Linked DNA regions of Caenorhabditis elegans. The protein of the gene in region 3 purifies or fractionates together with the protein of the main gene of each other region. This does not show direct contact. Each region holds a gene or a part of one and is shown on either strand. Other genes may lie near its edges. The genes, in order: snx-3, nspg-12, W10C8.5 and deps-1.

Region 1 (3,456 bases), 6.2 Mb from region 3:
ATGCAGTCACTTTATCAGCTCCTTCTCGAGCAGCCATTAGTGAAAGAAGTCCAGTTCCAGTACCTGTAAATAGTAAACTTTAAAAACCGAATAAGTTGAAAACTTAACAGCTAACCAATATCTAAAACATGAACTTTCCCATCTGTATTTTCATGTTTTTTCTCAGCAATCGTAGTTTTTAATCCTGCGAGGAACTTGTCATTTCTATCAAAATCCAGAATCATATCTCCAAATCGACTTCTGAAAATTAACGTTTTAAAGCAAGAAAATGCGAGAAGTATTGTTTATTAAATTTTATTTCTATGCGGAATATTTTTTTAAAGTTGAAAACCTGGCAAGTTCCTGAGCCATATCATAATCCTCTTCAGCCACAACCCATTCTCGTTCGCCGGTTTTTTGATTTATCTTCTCAAGGAACATTTTTCAGAAAACCCTGCAAATTGTCTATCTTAAAGATATGCTCGTTTTAATGATACACTCAAGATATTTGCGATATGCACACAACTGCCAATTTACCACTTTAAAATCCAAAGAAACGAAATCAAGGAACGGAAGACTTATTTTTCATATTTGTTCAAATAAAAGGGGTTCATGCAATAAAAATAGTGCAATCAATTGGGAAATTGGGAAACTATACACAAAAATGTAAAAATAAATATGAAATAAACAGGAGCCAGAAAATGGAAATCAATGGGAAAGAAGTGGTGATGGGGACAAAGTACACAATTTCGAAAAATACCGCATTTTGGTGGAGGGATGGAAACAATATTTTGATGGGCCGAGATTAAATTGGAAAAAAGCTTCTAAAAACTCACTTTTTGAAAACTAAATATCTCAAAAGATCAGAAAGCGTTACTCATTTTTTGTTATGTAAAAATATGATAAGAAAACATTATCATTTTTTAAAAGTTTCCTTCTGTTTATTGAAACAGACAGCGTTAAAACTATAACTCTGGGTATTTTGAGATTTTTCTCGTGAGCGGAGAATTTAGAAACATTTTAAAATTTAAGCGGTACGAATTTTGCCAGGCACGTAGTTTTTGTCAATAGTTGGCTCCTGGAGGAAAATATGGAGAGAGCGTTCGTTTTGAGCAAGTGGATGTCCAGCAACCCTGCAAGAACATATTATTAAAACTTTTAGAAATGTGAAAATTTTCTGAGTTCATTTTGATGTCCGTATAGTTGAACAGTTTTACGTACTTATTGATGAATAACTCGAGAGCTTTGCGCCTATTTTCAATGAATTCCTCTTCAAAAATTCCATCATCGGATCGGAATGGCAGTTGCCGTTTGAATGATTTTCCTGGCAACGTTGGAACCACAATCTTGCTATCTCGCTCTAGTTCAGCACGAACCCATTCGAAATCACTGTATCGGCGACGCACGCTTGATTCTTTCTGCTTGAAAACGGGGAGATTCGACTGAAACAACGATTTTATTATGCGGTCAGTGTTAATCTATACTTACTCTCATTCTGATTTCGTAATCCGTGTAGCGCATTTTTCCAACACCATGAGTGATAGGATTGATAACCTGCAAGTTATCTTGATCTAATTCATTGATTTTTATTCAAACCTCAATTTCAAGGAAGTTGGCCGGCGGGGCATATGCCTCGTCCAGCGTTTGCCGTTTTGAAGGGATCCGCTGAGTTGCCGACGCGCCGGATGCCATTTGCACTGCAAATATTCTAAATTATATCAAAGTTGCTTTGAATTGTTTATTTAAGTATCGATTTTCACAATATAAACAAAATAAAAGTGAAATTTATGTTGGAATCCAAAGCTTTAATCGACAACATGCGAGAACATCGTTTGCTTTTTGTTTCGCTGTTCGGCAAACTAAAATGGAAAAAATAATATGAAGCTGTGAAAAATCAATAAATAAAACTGGAATTTCAAGGAAATTACGGCAAAAATGACTCATCGCGCGCCGATAAACAAAACGAATCAAGAAATGAAAAAAGTGGCAAAAGTACGCAAACACTTTTGTGTTAATGCACACAAAAAATTCAACCGTACCTCAAACTGAAATTTCAAAAGCAGACACCGCAGATTCATGGAATGAAAAAGCAGTGACTCGCTATGACTCAAAATTTTAAAAAGATTATAATTGATTCAAAAGCAAAAAAATGTTTCACAACAAATCTATGTTGTAAAATAATTGTTAAATTGAAAATTAATAGCTGACACCGCCCTGTGTCCGTGTTTCGTCTTCTTCGAAACTTTGTTTTCGTTCAAGATGGCGCGGCGCCGTTCTTTTTGAATAAAAAGAGCATTTTAAAAATTTTGTTGAATTTCTGTAAATTCTACTTGTTTATTCAGTTGTTCTGCGAAATTAAAGATTTTCTTAGTTTTCAGGAATGCCAAAAAAAACGTTCGAAAATTTAGAAGATAGTCATGGAAAAGATGTTAATATCCCAGTTGAACTGCCAAAAAGGAAACGAGAAGTTACACCGGAAAATTTGTGAGCTTTTATAAAAAATTCAAATTTTAACACATACCGTATTCCCTCTATTAGTCTTGCATGCAAGACTAATAGAGGAAATACGGTAATAGTCATGCACCCCTATTCTTGCCAGGCCAGCAGTATTTTGTCAAAACTTCAAAATTTTCGCCATTTTTTAGCTAAATTAAATTTTAAACTGTTCAAGTAATTGATAAAACAATAGAAAAGCATGTATTTTGCATGATTTAGACTGTTTCAAGTCAAAATTTTGACGATAAATGGCCAATTTAACAAAGCTATTGGATCTTCGAAAATTAGTCTTGTAGCCTCTAATAGTCTTGCAGTCCCTATTAGTCTTGCACCCCTACGGGTCTATTGAAAATTAGTCTTGCATGCAAGACTAATAGAGGAAATGCGGTATATTATTTTCAGACCTTCCACAAGCTCTACTGCTCCAACACAAAAACGGAAAAGTCTAGGATATTCAGGACGAACGGAGGAACCGAAAAATGTATTAATATTTTTAGTTGCAATGAAATACAATTCGGAACTTAATTGTAATTGTAATTTTTAATGTTTTTCAGATACACAAAACCTTCATTTCCCCTTTTTCTACGTCAGTTTCTCCTTCAAAACAAGGTCTTCGACGACGAAAGAAGGCACTGCCTGCCATAGAACCACCTGTATCTGTAGAAGAAGCAAGTCCATTACGTTTTGTGAATATCGATGTATTCTCTAGACGTATGGCTTCCGAATCATCAGATCACGATGCTATGATTGCGAAGTTGTTGTCGAGAAAGTTTTCAATTCCGATGGAGGGATATATGTGTAAGAAAACATGTAAAAATGTTTATTTTAAACGAGTTTTCAGTATCTGGTCGAAGCCTAGGTCTTGGTGGAAACCGTCGAAAATGTGCTCTATTTGATCCATATCATGAAGGTGCATTGATTCTTTATGCTCCTGAACATCTTAGTGAACACGCACAACTCAAGGAAGATAAGGATCGAAAG
Region 2 (3,420 bases), on a different chromosome or scaffold from region 3:
GTTCTGAAATTGTACCAAGTATTCATTTTAGCCTGCCAATGCATATATGATCAGGGGTGGGTGGCATTTATTTTCGGCAATTCTACAAAAAAAGTTGCATTATTTTTTCCCACATTTTTCATTAAAAAAATTAGTGCCGAACTACAGAATGTTGTTTGATTTACTTGAAAATAACATCGACGTTAGCTGAAACATTAATAAACGTGCTAAAAAAATTGCCTGAAAGATATCAATTGTGGAAATATAAAGCTGGAAAATTCGATTCATCATTTGGCAATTTCCAACCATTTTTGAAGCACTTTCAGCTAAAATGATTGTAATTATCGGATAAATTAAATGAGTTTTTACATTTTCACACTATTTTTTTACGAATAATGTTAGAACAACGTGGCGCAATATGTAATTTGATCTGGTTCTACGAAATTCAATAACATTTCGTATTGTACTGTTTTGTAATAAAAGTTTTATTAATTTTTTTTGGATGGGAAATTATTTCAACTTGATGGTATCTCTTTTAGATTTAGCTTTTTTGTTGAAACATACGAAATATTTTATTTCAAAATCGAAATACCACAAAATTGATAAAACATTTGCATTTCTTCCCGGCGTTCAGAATGCTGAAAAAATAAAAATTGCTCATTAATCTGTTTTGGACTTACTTGAGCATTGAAGACTGCAATCGTGCAGAACAGCTCGACCAGCTTGTCGTGCATATTCACATCCCCACCAAGAGCTCTCAGAGTTACAGGAACTGTGATCGAACAATGCATTGAAACATCCGGTATATTGCTCGAAGTACCTGCAGATTTTTTAAAAATTAATTATGTTGTAAATTTTTGATCATATTTCATTACATGCAGTGGTTCTTATAATCTGCCAACAAATTCTTGGCAAATGTGGCACGGCAATCGCTGATCTGAGTTTGTTTTGTGGAAAAAATGTTCGACATACAAACATCGTTGTTGGAGAATCCTTAAACATTTAAAATTTTTTGTTGCTCAAAAATTATTGAAAACCTACCTTCAAATCCAGCTCCGCACGCAAATCCGAATTGTTTGTACATTGACACCACTTGCACGGCATCTCTGAAAACTTGGTAAGATTAACAGAAATAATGAATTGTGCCAACTTACCCAAGTCGAAGACCTGCTTTCACGTGATAACTAATGCTGGTGCAGTCACGTCGTGCTGGTCCAAGACATTCATAGTACTTGTTAAAAGCGCTGAAATCAATTTTTTTCGATGGGCAAAAGACAATGTAAGTATGAAAAAACGAACTCGCAAACTTTGAACAAACCACTTATACCGTTGATGTACATGTTTTCAATTTCTTGACGGTGACATTCAGGCTCGAAAGCAAGAATTCCTCAAAAATTGATAGCTCATTCAATTAAATTGTTATAAAAGCTTTACCATAACAGTTTGACAAGCCTAGATCAGATTTGAGCTGTAGCCCGCAACACTGAAGTAAATCTGGAGTGCATGTACCTGTAGTTGAAGGAGCGCATGCACAAAAAGCTGTTGGTGCTACTGAACATGCTTAAAAGGTCAATCAATCTGGGGGTACATTTTGAACTTACTTGCCAACACCGCAATCAATACATTCAACAGCATGTCGTGGAACGGAAAAGCTAGGGAAATGTTTCATTTATGGGATTAAGAATTGCAGTCCTTATCAGTTGAAGTGATTATCAATAATCCTGTACGCTTAAAAGACATTGATTATTGCATTAAATGGGCTAAGCGGAAAAAGTATTTTCGGAACCTTGTATTTGAATTTGACGGTGAAATTTTAAAACGAATGAAAAAAAAACTAATTTTTTATTTCAAATATTGCATAATAAGTAAAACAATTTATAAAAGATACACAGTCAAAAAATAGTTTTTTTTCAATAATAATTTGCTTATAATCTGTTGTCCTACCAAAATGTTTAATATACCAAATGTTGAAAACGTCCCAAAAAAGCTATTGGCAATATTTATTTCAAAACCCTTTTTTCAAAACTTTTCATGAAGTTCCCCATCGCCACACCAATAGATTGTCATATACTATACCGATGGCATTTTCTCAGTAATAAAAATTTATTCTTATCACAAATGATAATACATAGTTAAGATTGAATGACAAAAAGTTAATAATTTGTTTGTATCTGACATCATTTCGTTTTATTCGACTCATCCGATGATTCCTCCGCTATATGGCACTGCAAAAAAACAAAATCAATTTTACTAGATTTCACAATTTTCAAGTTTCACTTACAAACACATCTAGCTGCACATTGAGGGAATCGAGTAAAAACATTGACTCTTGAGTATTCACAAGCCCAGAACATGGCATCGTTTGATTTTTCACCACAGTTGTTTTTGAACTGAGTTTCGAAGCAAATCAAGTACTTATTGGCTTGTCTGTAAGTTTGGTTGGCGTTTTTTAATAATACCCGATGGTCTTCTTACGTGCAAGCCTGATTTGCGTCAACGTCACTGTTCACCTCATAATCTAGTCGGCATTGTCTCAGGACATCACTTTGGCTTCTCCAAGTAGTTGACATACAGCCCTCATTAAGGAGGTATGCTGAAATGAAGAAAGTTACCTCGTTACGGTTGGAATCCATTAGTCTGTATAAGGCGCTATTTTTGTGTTAATCGATTTCTGATCTCTGAGCAAATTAGGAATTTATAGTAAATGCGCAGCCGACTTCGGTTGTGGTCAGCGATGGACCTATTTCCCATGTATATCATATTTTCCTGCGTCTCTTGAATGTTTTTTTTAAACCTAATATGTGCTAGTATTCATGCCTATTCTAATCATAACTCAGAAATTCCTCTAAGAGTCTCATAATGTGTATAAATTACCACAGCAGCAAGCCCCAGAAAGTTTGATTTCGACACTCCCCGTGTTTTCCACCTATTCTAGAAACTTCATACCATGCCAAAAAGATGTGTAATTGTGTACTCAACAAAATTCAATTCCGACATCGCGTCGGGAAATGACAATAAAAATTCATACTTTGCAATCCAGCTCCACAGACAAAGTGCATTTGGTTGAACAGTCCAACAAATTGATAAGCGTTGAATGGAGTGGCCGATACAGAAACAAAATGGACCGCAGACATGCAGTTCGCGTATTCAGAGCCCATGCAAACTTTAAACTCGCGGAAAGCTCTGGAATTATATTCAGGATTCGAGAGAGAGTATCTAGTGAAGTACTGACTTGCAAACTTTACGCATTCCACTGGGTCCTTGAGCCTGGTAGTTTGTCTCCACCTAAATTTAATCAATAATTGTGTTTTGCTCTTTTTTCTGATAATCAAAAAATCAGATTATAATACAATCATGATGACATAATTAATCCCATTGACTTAAAAGTTATCATCGACACGTTCTAAACCTCACATTTCACATTTCACTATGCACACCCTT
Region 3 (4,263 bases):
GTATTTGTTCTTTGGTTTGGCTTGGAGTGATTTCTTGATTTTATTTTAGTTTTAGGCTGATTTTCAGCGGAAAAAGATGGGAATTTTTATTTCTCGATTGGCAATTTTTTTGGCATTGTTTCGGCAATTTTTTGACAATTTTGGCAATTTTTTTTGGCAATTTTTTGGGTTATGTTTGGCAGTTTTTTGACAATTTTGGCAATTTGCAATTGACAATATTTTTTCGGCAATTTCTTTGGCAATTTTTTTGACAATTTTTTGGCAATTTTTTTGGCTTATTTTTTGGCAATTTTTAGAAATTTTTAGACATTTTTTTGCCAAGTTTGGGAAATTGCAGTTGGCAACGTTTTGATAATTTTGGCCATTTTTTTTAACTCTTTCTTGCTTTGGAAACTTTCGGAAATTGGCAATTTTTTGAGCAAATTTTTAATTCTTGCTTTGGCAATTGGCAATTGCCAATTTTTTTGAAAATTTTAAAGCAATTTTCGGCAATTTTTAAACAATTTTTAGGCAATTTTTGGCAAATTTTGGCATTTTTTGGCAACTTTTTGCAATTTTTAGCTTTTTTTTAGCAGTTTTTTGGCAATTTTTAGCCATTTTTAACTCTTGCTTTGGAAGTTAGTAATTGCCAATTATTTGGCAATTAAAAAAAAATTTTTTTTGTACGTTTGAAATACGAAAAATATTTTTGGAACGCTTCACGAATTTGCGTGTCATCCTTGCGCAGGGATTTGCTTGCGATTTTTGAACATTTCTGACCTTTTTCTTGATTAAAATTTGAAAAAAGGACACGAAAAATAAAAATTTCAGTCGAAAATTGAAAAAAAGGAAGAGTGCAACACGGTTCTATGGGTGGAGCTTGAATACAAAAGCGCGGTAATTCAAATTAGTTGAAAATTCGCCAACAGCATAGGTTTTTCAAACTTAATAAAATGTTGTATTTTTTATTCTTTTGTGGTGTTTCGAAATTCCAGTTGCAGAATTTTGAAGTAACCATTTAAATTTCGCCCGTCGGTGTTTCCAGATTCTAGATGGGCGGAGTCAATACAGCACATTTGACGCGCAAATTTCTCGCTCTCTCTCAAATTCTCGATTTCCTTCTCGTTTGTTTTGTTTCATTTTGTTTGGTTGCAACTTTGGAAAGACAAACAGTTTCCCCAGGCTTATGATTTTTTCAATTTGCACGTTCTTCCTACCAGCCACACAAATTATTATCCCGTCAGAAAGTGAATGTGAAAAAAAAGAAAAAGATGGGCGGTTCGGAGCAGGAAGAGGAGAACGCTCGTTTTTCTTATTCATTTTTTTGTTGACGGCTCCGTGGAGCTTTGGAAAATACTTTTATTTGGGAATATTATTATTATTTATCACTAACACCATCAATTTTGGCATTTTTTGAAAGTTATGACGTCATAGATGGCATACAATTTGTCTTTTTGTTCTTTTACTTTTTGTCTGTTTTTGAATAGGTTCTAGTTTTTGAAATGCAATAAAAAATCGAAAGTTTAACCATTTCTTTTGTCCTGGGGATTTGGAAGGTTTCGAGGAAACAAGTGTCTAGACACGTCGTTATCATTGTGCTGACCTTGAAATTATCCAAAAAGGCAAGTTTAAGGATAGGTAAGGTAGGTAATAGTATAGTCTAGGCCTAGCCGAAGCCGAAGCCTAAGCCACTGAACAGTCTGAAAGTTTACCACCAATTCTCCAAAGATCGTGGCGAGACCCACCAGAATAACTTTTGATCTTTGCGCACAAAATAGGGTGCATCGATTCAGCGCAAAAATAAAAACAAGCTTCTCACGTATTTAAATTCAAAAGCTTGAGAAAAAAATTTTGAACAAAACTTTCCAAAACATTTTTTTAAAAACGTGACAATTTTCTTATCTAATTTCTAAATCTTTCCACGTGTTTTCCAAATGTCAACGTGTCATGAAAGAAAGCTCAGATTGATTATTACCGAAGAAGTTATCGTATTCAATTCGATCTCTTCTCAATCAACTCGTCGTAATGGCATCGCAATTTCTCCGTTCAACAAACTCGCGGTATGTCGCTGGAGTGCTCGCTGCCCTTGGAGCCGGATCCGCTGTCTACACTCTCACTCCACAGGTAATTCAACAGGCAATTTTCAGAAATATTTCCTCACGGGCTCTCAGAGTCCGTGCATTTTTTGAAATGGCAGAGGTTCAGCGGAACCTAGTCCGCGGCCATGACCAGCAGCGGCTCAAACAACAAAGCTATTCTTGCCCAGAGCGCTTGATTTTCCAGCATTCTGAAATTGATGAATTATTTTTTGTTTGAGCCGCTCCGCAAGCAGCCGCGTCGCGGTCGTAGCCGTGTTGAAACTCTGTCATCAAGATATGAAAGAAAATATTCCGGGAACGCAGTTCTCAGAAACAATGTTACAAATCTCTAAATATACTTTTTCCAGCAACTTCAAGCCAAATCCGAAGTCGACGCTGCCACGATCAAGAAGATCGAGGAGGCCTACGCCAAGCTCAATGGTCCAGAAGGAGCCAAGTGCAAGTCGCTGCTCAAGAAGCATCTGACCAAGGACGTCGTCGAGAAGCTCAAGACTAAGCGTACAAAGCTCGGAGCAACCCTTTACGACTGCATCCGGTCAGGTGTCTATAATTTGGACGCCGGAGTTGGAGTCTACGCTCCGGACGCTGAAGCTTACACTTTGTTCGCTCCATTGTTCGACAAGATCATTGAGGATTATCACGGATTCAGTCCAAAGCAGAAGCAACCACCAGTTGATCTTGGAGAGGGAAAGACTAAGGAATTCCCACCATTGGATCCAAAAGGAAAGTACATCAAGTCGACGAGAATCCGATGTGGACGTTCTTTGAAGGGATATCCATTCAATCCATGTCTCACTCAGGACAACTATCTTGAGATGGAAGGAAAGGTGAAGAAGGCGTTCTCTGAATATTCGGACAAGGAACTCAAGGGCAAGTACTATCCATTGGATGGTATGGGCAAGGATACTCAGAAGCAGCTGATTGCTGATCATTTCCTGTTCAAGGAGGGAGATAGACATCTTCAATACGCAAATGCCTGCAACTTCTGGCCAAAGGGACGTGGTATCTTCCACAATAACGACAAGACTTTCCTGATTTGGGTGAACGAGGAAGATCATATGAGAATCATTTCAATGCAAGAAGGGTCTGATGTCGGAGCTGTGCTTGACAGACTTATCAAGGGAGTTCGCGGAATTGAGAAGCAGGTTGATTTTCTAATAAGGCTCCGAAACTCAACATATTATGTTTTCCAGGTTCCATTCTCCCGTGATGACCGTCTCGGATGGCTGACATTCTGCCCAACAAACCTCGGATCAACAGTTCGTGCATCCGTCCACATTGCTCTTCCAAAGCTCGCCGCCCGCAAGGACTTCATCGAGATTTGCGAGAAGCTCAATCTCCAAGTGCGCGGAATCCACGGAGAACACTCGGAATCTGTTGGAGGAGTCTATGACATTTCTAACAAGGTAAATAAACCACGTTTTTTGTTGAAAAATCAACATTTCCAACTTCTCAGGCTCGCCTCGGACTCTCGGAATATCAAGCTGTGAAACAAATGTACGACGGAGTGAAGAAGCTAATTGAAATGGAGGAGAAGCAGAAGTAAACTGGAAGAAGAAGAAAAACTCGTTTAGTCATATTTTATTTCTCTATTAACTATTTAAATAAATGGTAGTAGAATGATTTCTATGTTTCTTTTCTTTCTCTCACTCTATCACCTACTTTTACTCTTTTGTTACCCACTTGAGCCATCATGTTTGCTCAATGGGGCGCCGCTTAGCGGACTGTCATACTCTCTATTTTTACCAGAAGCTTCACTACATTGCTTTTTATATTTTCGCTGCTGTAAAACTACTGTAAATGTCGGCGCCTACGAAATTGGAACTGATTTCCCTGCCTGGACGAGGACGAGCTGAGACTATTCGGTTACTGTAAGAGTTTTGGGATATTGGGCTCTAGAAGATTTTGGGTCTCGCAGCGACTTTTCGAGAATGTTCAGTAAATCGTGGTTGTATTTTAACATTACAATTTTTCGTTTTCTTAAAAGTTATGTCAAGATAATTTTCTTGACGGAACAAAAGAGTTCTATGAATGTTAAAAATTACGATTATTCCTCTAAAAATTAAAGCTCCAAAAAAGCCCGGTACATTTTTCTTGAATGTAAAAATACGTGCCATTTTAAAGAGTACTGTAATTACAAAACTGTAAAAGATCGATGAACCATGTCTTTCACAGCCTATATATA
Region 4 (4,976 bases), 2.3 Mb from region 3:
AAAATTCAAAAAATTTTTCTAGATTTTATATGATTTTTTGAAAATCGAAAAAATCTCAGTTTTTGCCTAATTCCTATTTGAATTACCGCCAATTGGATTTGTTCGATGGAGCGCGCTTGCACGTTTTTAAATTTATTTATTTTATTTATTGTTATTTTCCACCGATTTTCAATGTTTTCGGTGTATTTTTGCTTGAATTTTAGAGAAAAAGTTAAAATAAATGCAAATTTCCGATTAAAAAATCACTGAAAATGCGTAAAACTGAAAAATATGCTAGTTTCAGGTTTGTTGTCGTCGGAACTCATTATTTTACAGTTTTACGTATTTTTCACATTTTTAAACACTTTTTAGCAAACATTCTGCATTAATCTTGCTTTTTTACTTCTCTTTCCGATAAAAATACACAACTAATGAAGAAAATCAGTGACATAATAATAATAATAATAATAATAATAATAATAATAATTTATTACGCTCGCTGGGAGACGTGAAGGAATACAGAATACAAAAGTTATCATTGTTCGCTTGAACTAGAATTGGTGCAGTCGGGCAATCGTTTCCATTCCATTAAAATGTTGTCCTTGTCCTTGCGTTGTCCTTGCGTAGACTCCCCCATAGTGGGCGAGCGATTCCCGAGTGAAAATAATCACGGAATGAAAAAATAGAAGAAAAATAGAATAAATTAATAAAAAAAATAATGCAAGCGCGCTCCAACGAACGAGTTCAATTGGCGGTAATTCAAATAGGAATTAGGCAAAAACTTTTTCAGATTTTTTCAATTTTCAAAAAATCATATAAAATTTATAAATTTTTTTTGAAGTTTTTTAACGTGATATTTGGTCATTGTGGTACCATAGGCGTGTTTTAAAGCAATTTCCCCACAGGGTGTAGTCCACATTTAAAAATTAAAAATTAAAAATTCTACCTAACAAAATCGAAAATTTCAGATTCTCCTTGATTAAAAGCTTTATTATTGAGTAAAGAGTCCGCAGCGTCCACACGGAGAGCGGGTACAAGATGGAAATCTGAAAATATTTAGGATTTTCAAGGGAAAATATCGATTTTTTTTAGCAAAATACCACAGAAATTGCGGATGGAATGAGTAGAAGAGCCGGGTTGACTTTCCGGGGAAAGTTTCGACGTGTGATGCTCGTCTCGGAGAGCCTCATTCCCAAGAATCCGGTTGCGATGCTGAAGAAAATCGATGGAAAAAGTCTAAAATATCCCCTGAAACCCTACCTAAAAATCAGAAAATACGAGAAAATATTGATTAAATTCCGAGCCGGCACATAATTCGGGCGGATCAGCACTCCATTGAAGTTTCGAAACGTTTCGCCGTTCCACTGAAGTCCATCGAAGCCGGGAACGGATGGCGGCTCGAAATGCTCGTCGACACTCATTTGACTGGCCCTGTAGAGCCCGATGATGGCAATGGCGAGCATTCCCACTTCCACATGGAATATCAGGCTCTGAAAATTAAAATTTAGCTTTTAGACGGAAAAAATCGATTACTTTGACATGAACTTGATCGAAAAGCCAGCGATACGGGTATTTTCGGTGCAGGCGGCCTGATTCCGGACGTGCTCCTCGAGATATATTGGAATTTGTCGAGCGGATACTAATATCTGCCATTTTTTCGCTGAAAAATCAGAAAAAATAAGTTTTAAAACAGAATTTTAATGGAAAAATAAACGGAAAAATTCGAAACTTTTTTTTCCGCCATTGAACACCAATGTGCCTTTAAGGTACGGTAGCTCTTCGTGGTGAGACCACTGCGCCGCGCATCTGATTTCTCGTGGGAAATTTGTTTCGAATCCTACGTTTTTTACAGATTTTTCTTTTTTTTCGTTTCGCTCATCATTTTTTTGTTGCAAAAAATCCAATTTTCAGACAAAAATGTCAGAACGCCAATCCAAATATTTTGACTATCAAGGTATCGTCATTTCCTCCACTGGACAAGATAACCAAGATTCGGAGACGGACCTCGTTTATCTCATTCAAGCTCATGTACGTGAATTCCCTCCGTTTTCATATTTAAAATAATAAGCTCGTTTTCAGGGAAAAGCGGCCCCGAAGAACATCATGTACGGTGTCTCCAAGTGCGCATTTGTTCCAACAAACTTGGAGAGGAATTTCGATAATATCGAAGAGGCAAAAAATCTTGAGTCAGTATTTATTTGATTTGAGCCCATTTTTAATCTGTTAACACTTGAATTTTTAGACGTCGATCCAAAATCCCGCTAAAGTTCGGTGAAGTCATCCTATGGAACGAATCGGACTGTGATCACGATAAGAGGATAATCCTTCATATCAAACGAGAAAAACCAATTTATGAAGCGTCTTCCAGCAGAAATGGACTTATTTTGAAAGTCGGTGGCGTCATCCAGCCCACCTCAACGACCTCGTTCTGGACGCCATTATGCACCGTCACCATGCGTATGTTTCTTCTTGATTTTCGTCTCTCTAACCATATATTTATTTCAGCAGAGACAGAGGCGACCCGTGCGGAGCCAGACGTTTGGCTATACGCCTGGATTCGATTCGAAACTACCATGAAGAGTGGTCTAGATCCTTTCAATATGACTGCAACATTCGAATCGTTTGACAGTTGCGATCCATCCGACCAAGCACGCGTCTGTGAAGCGGTATTTGCTTTTTAAAAATTTTTTACGGGATTTTGAACAAATAACTTTCAGCCATGGAACGCAGGCTCTCCTGACTCTAAATTCGGTGTTTGGCGCCCGGATCCAAAGCCTGCTGATAGCGACGACGAAATTGATATCGAGCCGAGAGAAGGCTGGCACTTGCCAGAAGACAAATGGGCCGAGGTTAAGGTTGCTTTGTGGATTCTCGTTGACAATTTGATTTTGCAGGTCATCAAGATGCAGCTTGGCCTGTATGTCGGCGAACGCCTACTGATTTGCAAAGAACTCTCGCAGTTCGACTTTATTATCCCACTGCAGAAGCCATTTTCCCGAGGAACGGACAAGACTTTGATCTACCCAGCCGTCGGAGAATACTTTCATTTCAGTGCTATTTGGTCGATGCAGCACAACGGTTTTCTGATCTATGAGCTTCAGCCAGTTCCACTTCTCAGACAGCATGTAACCTCTGTCAACGGAAATGTAAGTTATAATATTGATTTTTTTGTCCAGAACATAATTTTTATTTCAGCTCCTTACCCGCGTCGTTCCTGCCAGTATCAGAGGTCTCTTCGTTGACAAGGAGGGCACTCTTGGATTGATTGATGACCCACACCATCTTCTTTCATTCTTCGAGTTTCATCCAGCTGGTTATGAATTCTTGAAGGCTATGGTAATCATGAGTGGGTCTTATTTTGAAACAAACGCTTTCAATTTTCAGGCCGAAGTTCGTGCTGTTCGAACTTCAGAAAACAAATCTGTCCGTTACCGCATTGTTCGTACATCGGGAATGTCCATTTTTGAAAACTGGCTTCGTGATACTCAGGTCTCTAAAGTTAAATTAAACTCGTCCTTTTCACCCCTGAATTTTTCAGTTCGTTGTTGGTCCAGTCAAAGGAATTCGAATCAATGAAGACACTGTCATTTGTGCCAAACATCCGAATGTCTACTTCAAAATCCCCAATAACTTGAAGGAAGGAATCCCCATTGGCGGAGGAGTTCAATTCGTTGGAAAGCGACAAGCTGGAGTCGACAGTGAAATTATGATCACCGAATGTTCTCCATGTCCAGCGTTCACTTGTAAAAATTACTCGGTCTCTGGTGATACGGTTAGTCTTCAATTATTTAATAGTTTTTATTCTATGAGGAAAATATTCAGCGCTTGTTCCAAGTGTACTTGAAGCCAAATTGCGATCATGAGCAGTTGGCGGAGAGTGATTCGATGGGATTTGTGGATTTCAGAGAGTTGGAGACTCCATGTAGAGGAAAGTGAGTGTGTCAGGATTTGTAAAAATAATTGTAACTGAATTTTAAGGTTCCTGGCATGGGTCCGTGAATCCATTACTGTCAATGATTGTCGCCGTGCTGCTACCATCATGGAAGTATGCTCGACAGCCATCTGTCCTCCGTTGATTGCAATGAGCGCGAATTCGAGCAGAGCAACATCGGCCAGAACTACGCCAGCTGGAAGTTCCATTGGATCCAGATCATCAATTCAATCAAGAGCATCTGCAGCTACTTCAGTGAGCTCAAACGTAAGTTTATTTTTAAGGTTGGAAGATGATAAAAACAAGTTTTTCAGCGATTCGTTGGCCCTTCAAGCCGCAGAACTCCATCTGGTACTCCACAAAGCTCAACATCTTCCAGGGTCTAATTAAATATATACGCATCCCGTTTTCCCCCGTATTTGTGTTTCAAATGTTCTGCTCATTTTTAATCTACCCGTTATCCAACCAAACATTTATTTATTTAAACTTCAAGTTCCACCACCATCCCATTCCGCACAACTTGTCTCTCGTAATTTTCTCGTGCTCTAATGAAGTTGTGGTAGGTTATTCTAGTGAATACACCCATGTTAAGCAGCGAATACATCCAGAAAAGTCCCAACAAGCCGGCAGCGAGATACTCCCCCCAAAATGATGGTTGATCGGTACATCCAAGATAGGGTAGCATCGCGATAGACGTGAGCAAGTTCGTTATGCACTTGAAAAACTGAAATTTCAGAAAAGATTAGGTGTATCAGAAGGTTAAAAACAAACAAATGACATATAGATGAACGAAGCCAGTGATGGAATCGGATTCCGAATACGAGAAGCCATTCCCGGAGATACTGTGATAAGAATCTGTGTGATCGAGAACACAATGAGCACACCCACCGGGAACATGAATTCCATGGAAACACGGAGGCAAAGGTCACAGTACTGCAAAAAATGCGAAATTTTGGCGATTTTTGCTCTAAAAAATGCACTGGCCGGGTCTCACCACGACAAATTTTTGTTGTCAGTTGAATGCCAATAGAGTGTGCGCCTTTAAGGAGTACTGTAGTTTCAAACT

The links.
Region 1: the proteins of W10C8.5 (region 3) and snx-3 fractionate together in Caenorhabditis elegans (co-fractionation; one large-scale study listed by BioGRID). This does not show direct contact.
Region 2: the proteins of W10C8.5 (region 3) and nspg-12 fractionate together in Caenorhabditis elegans (co-fractionation; one large-scale study listed by BioGRID). This does not show direct contact.
Region 4: the proteins of W10C8.5 (region 3) and deps-1 fractionate together in Caenorhabditis elegans (co-fractionation; one large-scale study listed by BioGRID). This does not show direct contact.

The regions. Positions count from the first base shown.
Region 1 is NC_003279.8:9,062,728-9,066,183, forward strand, and holds snx-3 (Sorting nexin-3), read right to left. Parts: upstream 1,677-3,456; 5' UTR 1,672-1,676; coding exon 1,576-1,671; intron 1,534-1,575; coding exon 1,468-1,533; intron 1,422-1,467; coding exon 1,201-1,421; intron 1,113-1,200; coding exon 1,007-1,112; 3' UTR 551-1,006; downstream 1-550. Other genes in the region: prmt-7 (Protein arginine N-methyltransferase 7), read right to left, coding at 1-63, 116-240, 332-420; rad-54.L (DNA repair and recombination protein RAD54-like), read left to right, coding at 2,360-2,463, 2,878-2,956, 3,030-3,273, 3,317-3,456.
Region 2 is NC_003284.9:5,255,503-5,258,922, reverse strand, and holds nspg-12 (DUF19 domain-containing protein), read right to left. Parts: upstream 1,625-3,420; 5' UTR 1,615-1,624; coding exon 1,581-1,614; intron 1,531-1,580; coding exon 1,414-1,530; intron 1,367-1,413; coding exon 1,279-1,366; intron 1,224-1,278; coding exon 1,134-1,223; intron 1,086-1,133; coding exon 1,021-1,085; intron 973-1,020; coding exon 855-972; intron 800-854; coding exon 660-799; intron 618-659; coding exon 610-617; 3' UTR 539-609; downstream 1-538. Other genes in the region: nspg-13 (DUF19 domain-containing protein), read right to left, coding at 2,176-2,204, 2,261-2,406, 2,455-2,572, 3,008-3,162, 3,212-3,264.
Region 3 is NC_003279.8:2,853,412-2,857,674, reverse strand, and holds W10C8.5 (arginine kinase), read left to right. Parts: upstream 1-1,942; 5' UTR 1,943-2,004; coding exon 2,005-2,103; intron 2,104-2,232; exon of another isoform or gene 2,233-2,380; intron 2,381-2,425; coding exon 2,426-3,223; intron 3,224-3,271; coding exon 3,272-3,484; intron 3,485-3,534; coding exon 3,535-3,624; 3' UTR 3,625-3,700; downstream 3,701-4,263. Other genes in the region: W10C8.4 (Glutathione S-transferase), read left to right, coding at 3,879-3,949.
Region 4 is NC_003279.8:504,581-509,556, forward strand, and holds deps-1 (P-granule-associated protein deps-1), read left to right. Parts: upstream 1-1,892; 5' UTR 1,893-1,896; coding exon 1,897-2,007; intron 2,008-2,058; coding exon 2,059-2,165; intron 2,166-2,221; coding exon 2,222-2,436; intron 2,437-2,484; coding exon 2,485-2,645; intron 2,646-2,696; coding exon 2,697-2,828; intron 2,829-2,873; coding exon 2,874-3,125; intron 3,126-3,174; coding exon 3,175-3,315; intron 3,316-3,363; coding exon 3,364-3,468; intron 3,469-3,517; coding exon 3,518-3,751; intron 3,752-3,801; coding exon 3,802-3,911; intron 3,912-3,957; coding exon 3,958-4,177; intron 4,178-4,224; coding exon 4,225-4,296; 3' UTR 4,297-4,391; downstream 4,392-4,976. Other genes in the region: Y65B4BL.4 (Dolichyl-phosphate-mannose--protein mannosyltransferase), read right to left, coding at 926-1,025, 1,080-1,191, 1,240-1,469, 1,513-1,632; Y65B4BL.7 (uncharacterized protein), read right to left, coding at 4,392-4,634, 4,682-4,843. UniProt on the Caenorhabditis elegans protein: Component of P-granules which is required for P-granule formation and integrity in adult germ cells. Promotes the accumulation of glh-1 mRNA and localization of pgl-1 to P-granules. Involved in RNA-mediated gene silencing (RNAi) in the germline.